2 linked regions of the Oryctolagus cuniculus genome follow. The protein of the gene in region 1 binds, or shares a complex with, the protein of each later gene. Links are inferred from orthologs where the notes say so. Each region holds a gene or a part of one and is shown on either strand. Other genes may lie near its edges.

Region 1 (3,812 bases):
GCGCACCTTCTTCAGAGGGTCATGGTGAATGTGTGACCGTCTGTACCATGGTACATGGGAGTGGTAAGTGAATGTTTGCTCTTACTCATTTAGTGCCAAGGGGAAGAGAACTATTCTCAGGTTGATCGTATGCCGAAATGACTGCGAACCCATGCCCTGGATTCCTTGTGATCCCATAACAGTGAGAGTAGGGTCTTCCACATATCTTGTTCTTGTTTGTAACCCTTGGTTTTTACCTTTGCATATGGTTTATCTCTTATGGGTCTCTCCCATTTCCTCTGAGTCAACTCTTCTTTTGGATGTTATGATATTAAATCTCAAACTCTTGATCCTTTAAATCTCAACCTCTCTCAGCGCCATTTCATCTCATCCTACACCAAATCAAATGTCAGTCTTCTCAAGTTTTCCTCATAGTTTAATGGGAAGCCAGATTCTGTTTGTGATTCATGACCTGATGTATAGTAAGTGCCTCAAAGTGCACTATGTTCATAAATGATGTAGTCTGACTGTACTGGCTTTCTGTGAAAGATGCCAGTCTTTTGAGATAGCCCCAGCTGAGACTGTGGAATCACCTTTGACCCCTCCTTTCACTTTGTCCAGACCTGGAAGTGGGCCAGTGAGGCTTCCTTTGGGGTGGGAGCACATGTGCCTGTTTTGCTCTTGCCACTGCTGCCAATCTGGTCATGCTTTGTAGCTTCCTGTTGAATTTCCTCAAATTCTTCTTTTTTTTGTCCTGGGGTGCGTCCCATGATCCACTCAGACTCAATTCTAATTTCTTTTTTTTATTTAATAAATATAAATTTACAAAGTACAACTTTGGAATTGTTGCGGCTTTTTCTCCCATAACCTCCTTCCCACTTGCAACCATCCCATCTACCACTCCCTCTCCAATCCCATTCTTCATCAGGATTCATTTTCTTTTTTTTTTTCTTTTTTAGGATTCATTTTCAATTATCTTTATATACAGAAGATCTTGGTCTTTCTATGATTCTCCACTGCCCAGCATACACGAGGGTACTTCAGAAAGTTTGGGGAGCAGAGTGGAAAGCAGTTTGGTGTGAAAGATTTTGAAATCCATGTGTTGTTTTTTTCTTGAAATACATTTTCCATGCATTGTTGAAGACCCCTTGTGCAGTTCTGAATCCTGCTCTTTGCGTGCACTTCCCTTCCTTGAGCCCCAGGCTTTGCTCAGATTTGCTTACTCTGGCATGTCTAGGCCAACTCCCTTTTTCTTCTTGCCAGCTTTGCTTTTGTTGGTGTTGCCACACCCTCACTTGGCATCATCTGGGAGCCAAAGAAGGTCAGTGAGCCTGGGGTGGAATGAGTGAGAGGAGAGAGGCCTGAGCTAAGGTTAGAGGGTAGCAGGATGTGGCTATTCAGGCCCTTGTGGACCACACTGCAGTGTTTCATCGTCAGCCTGAATAGCACATGGTGGGGCTCTCAGCAGCTGCACGAGTGCTCAGGACCTATGGAGTGTTACAGCTCGCTGCCAGCGGGGTACAGAATGGATTGAAAGGCAAGGAAGGAAGCAGGGCCACCAATTACAGTGACTTCGTACCCAGTGAGCTGGTGCAGGGACGAAAGAGCTGACACGGAAGATGGAGGCAAGTGAGCAAACAGGAGATTTGTTTTGAAGACACAATAGATAGGATTTTGGTGGGATATGGGGCAGGAAGGAAATGGATGCAGCAAGGATAGTTTCTGGGTCTCTGGGTAATAACCGGGGACTCATGGAACCTCAGACTGAACCAGCAGCCTGGAGAGGAGCAGCTTCATTCCTGTCTCCCTCACAACACAGCCTGTCACGTAGGAAGCCCTTTAAATGTTAACTCTTAGTATCCTGTGTTTATGCTGTGCTTCTCGGAGTACATTTTAAATTCCCTGAAGGCCAAAGGCTGTGCTTTAAACTATTTTTCCTACAGCATCTATCATAGTGCCTTAGCCAGGAAAGGTGGTGAATCAATATTTAATTGAGTGACAAAAACTGTTCCACACTTTGTTTCTGCCTCCTTTCCAAGTCCTAATTATTTGAAGTAAGCAATTAAAGAAATTGGGGAAAATTTCTATTTTCATATATCATACATACAATGCGAGGTTTTTCTATATTTGCACTCAGAAGTGTTATTTAATACGAGTCACTGGAGTCGGGCCTGGGATTCGTCCGTGTGGTATCCTCAGGCTGGCTCCCTACCTCCTGGTGCCTGCTGTCTCCACAGATGTGCACTGGGAACTACACCTTTGTCCCTTACATGGTGACACCACACAACAAGGTCTACTGCTGTGACAGCAGCCTCATGAAGGGCTTGACTGAGCTCATGCAACCCAACTTGGAGCTGCTTCTCGGACCCATCTGCTTACCTCTTGTGGATCGTTTCATTCGACTTTTGAAGGTGGCACAGGCAAGTTCCAGGTAATGTGCAATAACACCATTTGGTGATGATAAGGAATGGTTCTACTTCTTTTACTTATCCATAGAAGATGATCCTCAGGAATCAATATACAGCTAAGAACCAGGATAAATGTTGCACACTGTCTTCCGGGGTAGGGAATATCTCGCTGGCAGTCTGTATAAGGCCAGTGAGATCATTTAGTCTGGCCCTGCAAAGGCAATCATGGGTGGGATTTGAAATTCAGTAAATCTATGGTAGGCTAATTTTTAAGTTGATAATTTAGTTTGTCCCATGCTTGATGTCATAAATATCCAAATGGCACTTGGCAGAGAAAAGGTTCCCCACCCCTGCAAGCAGATAATATACTCATAGATGTCATATAGTTCACATGTTGCCTTGTGTTTATTTTACTCACAGGACAACTTGGTATCAGAAGGAATAAAGACTACTAACTGCTTTATAGGAGTGTCAGAGCTAAAATACATACCGAAACCTTATCAGAATAAGGTCCAAGGACTTTTCAGCATAAGGACAAGAATTCTGCAAAAATTGCTGAGGCAGATGTTGATTAAGAGCAAATGTTTATGTTCATAAATGATGCTGAGTCAGAAAGTACAGGTTATATGATTTAGAACAATTCCTGCTCAGAAAAGTCAATCAAAAATGTGGTTTTGTGGTTTAAGTGGTACGATGCATGGAGATTCATTTACATAGTATTCCTTATAACTCTTTTTGAAACAAGACAGAATATGAAAGGAAATACAGGGACTTCAAAATTTCTAAATAATGACAGATTATGAGATATTCATTCTGTTCACACTAAGTAATTGAAAGCTATGAGTACACAAATGTCATTCATTTTCTTATAAAATTACTATTTTTATTGAAATCTTTGGAATGTGTTTTGGTTTCTCCACAGCCAATATTTCCGTGAATCTATACTCAGCGATATCAGGAAAGCTCGAAATTTATACACTGGTAAAGAATTGGCAGCTGAATTGGCAAGAATTCGGCAACGAGTAGATAATATTGAAGTCTTGACAGCAGATATTGTGATCAACCTGTTACTTTCCTACAGAGATATCCAGGTAAGAAGATACTTAACAGTAAAATCTGTCCTGTAGGATGTTGGAAGGGAGTGCAAATGTCAAATTTCTGTTACCATATGTAGTTTTTTTTTTAATTGGTTCTCATGAGTTTTCCATCCCATGATTTTATGATGAAAGAAGACTCCTGTGAGTTAACTGTCAGTGATTGAGGAAAACTTTCATGGTAAAGGCCTGATTTTTCCCTTTAAAAAAAAAAAAGAAAAGAAAAATGCTAATAGGGCTATCCTATGTACAGTCTGTTCCACTCAGACACACTTGTCAGTCAATAAATGAAAGCTGGTTTAGGGAAACAGCAGAAATTTTTAGAGCCTTC
Region 2 (3,812 bases), on another chromosome or scaffold:
ACGGCCAGACCAACTGGACTCCACCTCTGCTGAGCCCTGACCAGGCCTGGCTGGGTGACCAGACCGTGCCCCTCCCCGACATCAGTGCCAAAGAGGATGAGCGGGGCTGCCAGGAGCCGCCCGTGCCCCTGGGGGCGCCCACACTGGACACAGCTGCGCTCCAGACCCTCCTGTGACGGAGCACATTTCGTCCTGCTGCTCCAGCATGGCCCCTGCTCAGCCTGAGGCCTCCCCGGTGCAAGGGAAACCTTCCTGAGAGGCGGGCCCCCTAAAGGAGGGCAGGGGCCAGCACGGACCAGTAAGAGTTGAAAGGGGGAGGGTGAAAGTTGAGAGGGGAGAGCAAGGCACAGAACAGGGCCACACGGCTCCCTGGGGCAAGGTTGGGCCCAAGTCTTGCTTCCCAGGCCCTGTCACTCCTGGATACCGGGGGGGGGGGGGGGGGGGGTTGCAGGGGGAGTCTAGGACCTGACTCTGAAAAGCCGCAGCCTAGGCAAGCGGAGCCTGGGACAGGACAGGCTGTCCGCTCACCGCCGCTCCAGCTGCCTCGTGGGGCTTCCAGCCTCTTGCAAGGGTTCCCAAGTGTTCCAGAGACAGGGACTCAGGTGCACAGCACCCAGTGGCATGGGTGTCCACCTTCTGCTCCCCTCCCCTTCAGAGGCCAAGAGAGCTCAGGCAGCCTCTTGCCTCAGACAACTTCAGATCTGAACCTGCTTCCTGAGCCTTCCTGGCCCTGAAGACCAGGCACTGGAAGATCAGACCCGGCAGCAGAACAAATCAGCGCCTCTGTTGCCTCTTGCGCCTCCTCTGGGAGCCACAGGCTTCCTCAATCCACTGCATTTCCTAGAACCCATGCACCACTGCCCAGTGAAGGACAGGGTATGCAGAGCTGGCCTAACTACAGCCTTGGCGGTCAAGTGCAAAGGCTGGGGGGCGGGGAGATGGTCCACCAGAAAGCAGTACCCTTGCCCGCTCCCATGGAGCCATGGGGGCAAGTTCCTCTCCCAGTCCTGCACCTGTCTCACACCACATCTGGCAGGTGGGGGTGCCACTGAGGGCCTGTAGAAGGCCAAGGAACTTCCAGCCATGGCTTCTCCATCAGGACCTCAAAGGACTCACTTGCCCCTGGGCTACCCTGGGGTCCTCAAGCCAAGTTCCCAACCTGTGCCTGACCAGCCCTTGGCTAAGAGCTCAGGACCCGGACCCAGGGCAGTGCCCTTCCCCAACACGTATGTCACTCTTAAACCACACCACCGACCAGAGAGCTGAGGCCCAGCTCCTTAGCTCAACTCAGGAGGCCTTATCCACCTCACAGAGGCCTCAGGTCCAGCCCCCTTCCTCCGCCCACTTCCTCCCAAGGCCAAGGCACTGTGAAGAAGGGAGGTCCACCTGGGAGGCCTTCAGGAGCCACGTTCCACTGAGCTGGGCAGGTGGGAGACGGCACATCTAGGGCTCCCCAGGCCAGGAGTGGAAGGGAGAGGAGGTGGGCGGGGGTGGAGAGACAGGAGGGCCTGCCAGAGTGGCTGTCAGACTGTCTTCATGTTCCTGTGGGCCTCGGGCTGGCTGCCTACCCAGGTGAGTGTGGGGAGACTGTCAGCTGGTGCCCCACCTGCTGGGAATGTCTGCCAGACTGGGTGTGTGTTGGGGTGGTGGTGGGGGGGTGGAGCTGGTCACGAGGCCAGTGGGTTGTGGGGCCAGGGTGTGCTGGGGGAGCCCAGTTGCACCCCCTGCACCCCCTTGGGCCGAGAGGGAGGCAGCTGAAGGCTCTACTCATGCCTCAGGAGTCAGACCCATTCGTGCTGGGAGACAAAGCCTGCCCAGTGGTAGAACTCTCAGGATCAGGGAGCCCACCCAGCCGTGACTGGTGCCACCAAGGCCTCCATGAACGCTGGCTGGACGGACCCGGAGACGGGCAGGTGACCCCGCGCTTGCAGAAGCCCTCCCTGGGAGCCAGGGCCTGCACGCACCTTCACCTTGCCCGTGCTCTGCAGGATGTGCACCAGGGCGGACGCCATCTCCTCCTTGGTCTTGGCGCTGAGGATGGGTTCCAGGGCGGCGCACAGCCCCAGGTAGTGGTTGGTGATGTGCTCGGCAAACTCCTTGTACATCTCCATGGGCAGGATGGTGATGGTCTGGTAGCGGGCCTTGATGCGGATCATGGGCCCGGGGCCCTTGCCGCCTTTGGGGTTGGGCGTCACCACCGGGTACCACTTCTCCACGAACTGCCGCCCGGCCACCGAGGCAGCGGGCAGGCTCACCAGGCCCAGGTAGCTGTTGCGTTCCTTCTTCTTCTTCTTGTCAGTCTCCCGGTACAGGTGGACGGTGACCGTGCGCAGGGGCGGCAGGTTGTGGAACTCGAAGTGCTCTCCCCAGAAGACGTTGTCCGTCTTGAGCTTGCCCGTCGTCCGGGCGTACAGCACGTCGTCCAGGCACAGCTCGCACAGGTACTTCTTCTTGGCTGGCAGGTCCTTGGCCTCGATCACCCACAGCTTGAGCACATGCTCCACGCGCCGGCTGTTGTCCTGCGCGTGCACAGGGGCCCGGGCATCAGACATGGGAAGTCTTCAAATCAGGTGGGGGGAGGGGTGGGCCAGGCCCTGGGAGGGGGAGGGGTAAGGCAGGAGGCGACGGACACAGGCTGGGTCTCTAGTCTAGTCTGCCTCCCGTGTGCGCTGACCTGGGGTAGGTCACTTAACCAGAGCCTCAGTTTGCATTTCTACCAAATGAGAATAAAAACGCCGCCCTACGGAGTGAGAGACTGAGTACGGAGGCCAGCACGCTGCCTGGCCCATTTCAGGTTACGAGGCCACGACTACCTCCTTACTTGGCTGGGCTGTAAAGTCACTTAAGAAGTGACCATTGCTAAGGTCCCTTCCTCAGTGATGTCACAGTGACCAGGACTTGGCCCAGGCCCTCAAGCCAGCTGGGGAAACGGATATAGATGCAAGGGTGGCCTCTGGGGTCCCACAACCTGACACGAGAGCCCAGGGTCCCCCTCTGTGGGAATACAGACAGGTGCACCAACCCAGACCAGGGTGCTTGTCCTGAGGAGATGCAGATGTCTCAGGCAGGATGAGATGGCCCAGCAGCTAGGGACAAGTGGGCACAGGGCTCCAGGCAGAAGGCTGCAGGGCCAGCTCCTCCTCCACGTGTAGCTTCAAGAACACAAGCCCAGAGCCTGGCCCAGCCTGGCCGAGTCAATCTCCTCGTTCAGGGCGCAAGAACATTGCCCACGCAGGCTGCTCCCATGCCAGCCCTCGCCCTCCTGCTGCCTCGTGTCTGTCTGACCTCCATCCCCCGTGCTTTGGCAAGAGAGGCACAGAACTACCTTGTTGGGGTGCACTGCTCGCCGCAGGTTCTCCATCCACTTATCCCGCTCGGCTGCTGACCGGCAGGAAAAGCACTTGCTTCCCGATGACGTGGTCACCTGTGGGGACAGGCAGGACGGCGTTACAGGGGGAGGGACCACGCAAGGCTGAGTGGCGACAGAAGACCTCCGGGGACTGTGGTCTCCACTGTGGCCTCAGGTAGGAGGCAGGACAAGGCCCTTGTTACCCCACAAGGTCACGTCCTGTAGGCAGTACACTGAGACCCAGGACCCGGAGCAAGCCAGCAGCAGGACGGCGGCCCCACCTGCAGCGTCAGGCTCCTGCTCCAGGCTCCTCAACCTTGCCTCGATGTCCTTTGGTCCAAACAGGAAAGCAGTTCCTGACCCCAACCTGCCTGTCCCTGAGACAGCGGCAGAGAAGGAACAGGGCCCCTGCCGGGTCACAGGGCAACGTGCAGCCCAAGGGGAGCTTCACTAAGGATACACG

The links.
Region 2: MAP3K5 (region 1) and DAB2IP share a complex: the UniProt entries of both Homo sapiens proteins name them as parts of the cytoplasmic complex. The link is inferred for Oryctolagus cuniculus from reciprocal best matches to the Homo sapiens genes MAP3K5 and DAB2IP.

The regions. Positions count from the first base shown.
Region 1 is NC_091436.1:32,159,593-32,163,404, forward strand, and holds part of MAP3K5 (mitogen-activated protein kinase kinase kinase 5), read left to right. Parts: intron 1-2,216; coding exon 2,217-2,410; intron 2,411-3,309; coding exon 3,310-3,478; intron 3,479-3,812. UniProt on the Homo sapiens protein: Serine/threonine kinase which acts as an essential component of the MAP kinase signal transduction pathway. Plays an important role in the cascades of cellular responses evoked by changes in the environment.
Region 2 is NC_091432.1:225,763,109-225,766,920, reverse strand, and holds part of DAB2IP (disabled homolog 2-interacting protein), read right to left. Parts: intron 3,425-3,812; coding exon 3,326-3,424; intron 2,520-3,325; coding exon 1,965-2,519; intron 1-1,964. UniProt on the Homo sapiens protein: Functions as a scaffold protein implicated in the regulation of a large spectrum of both general and specialized signaling pathways.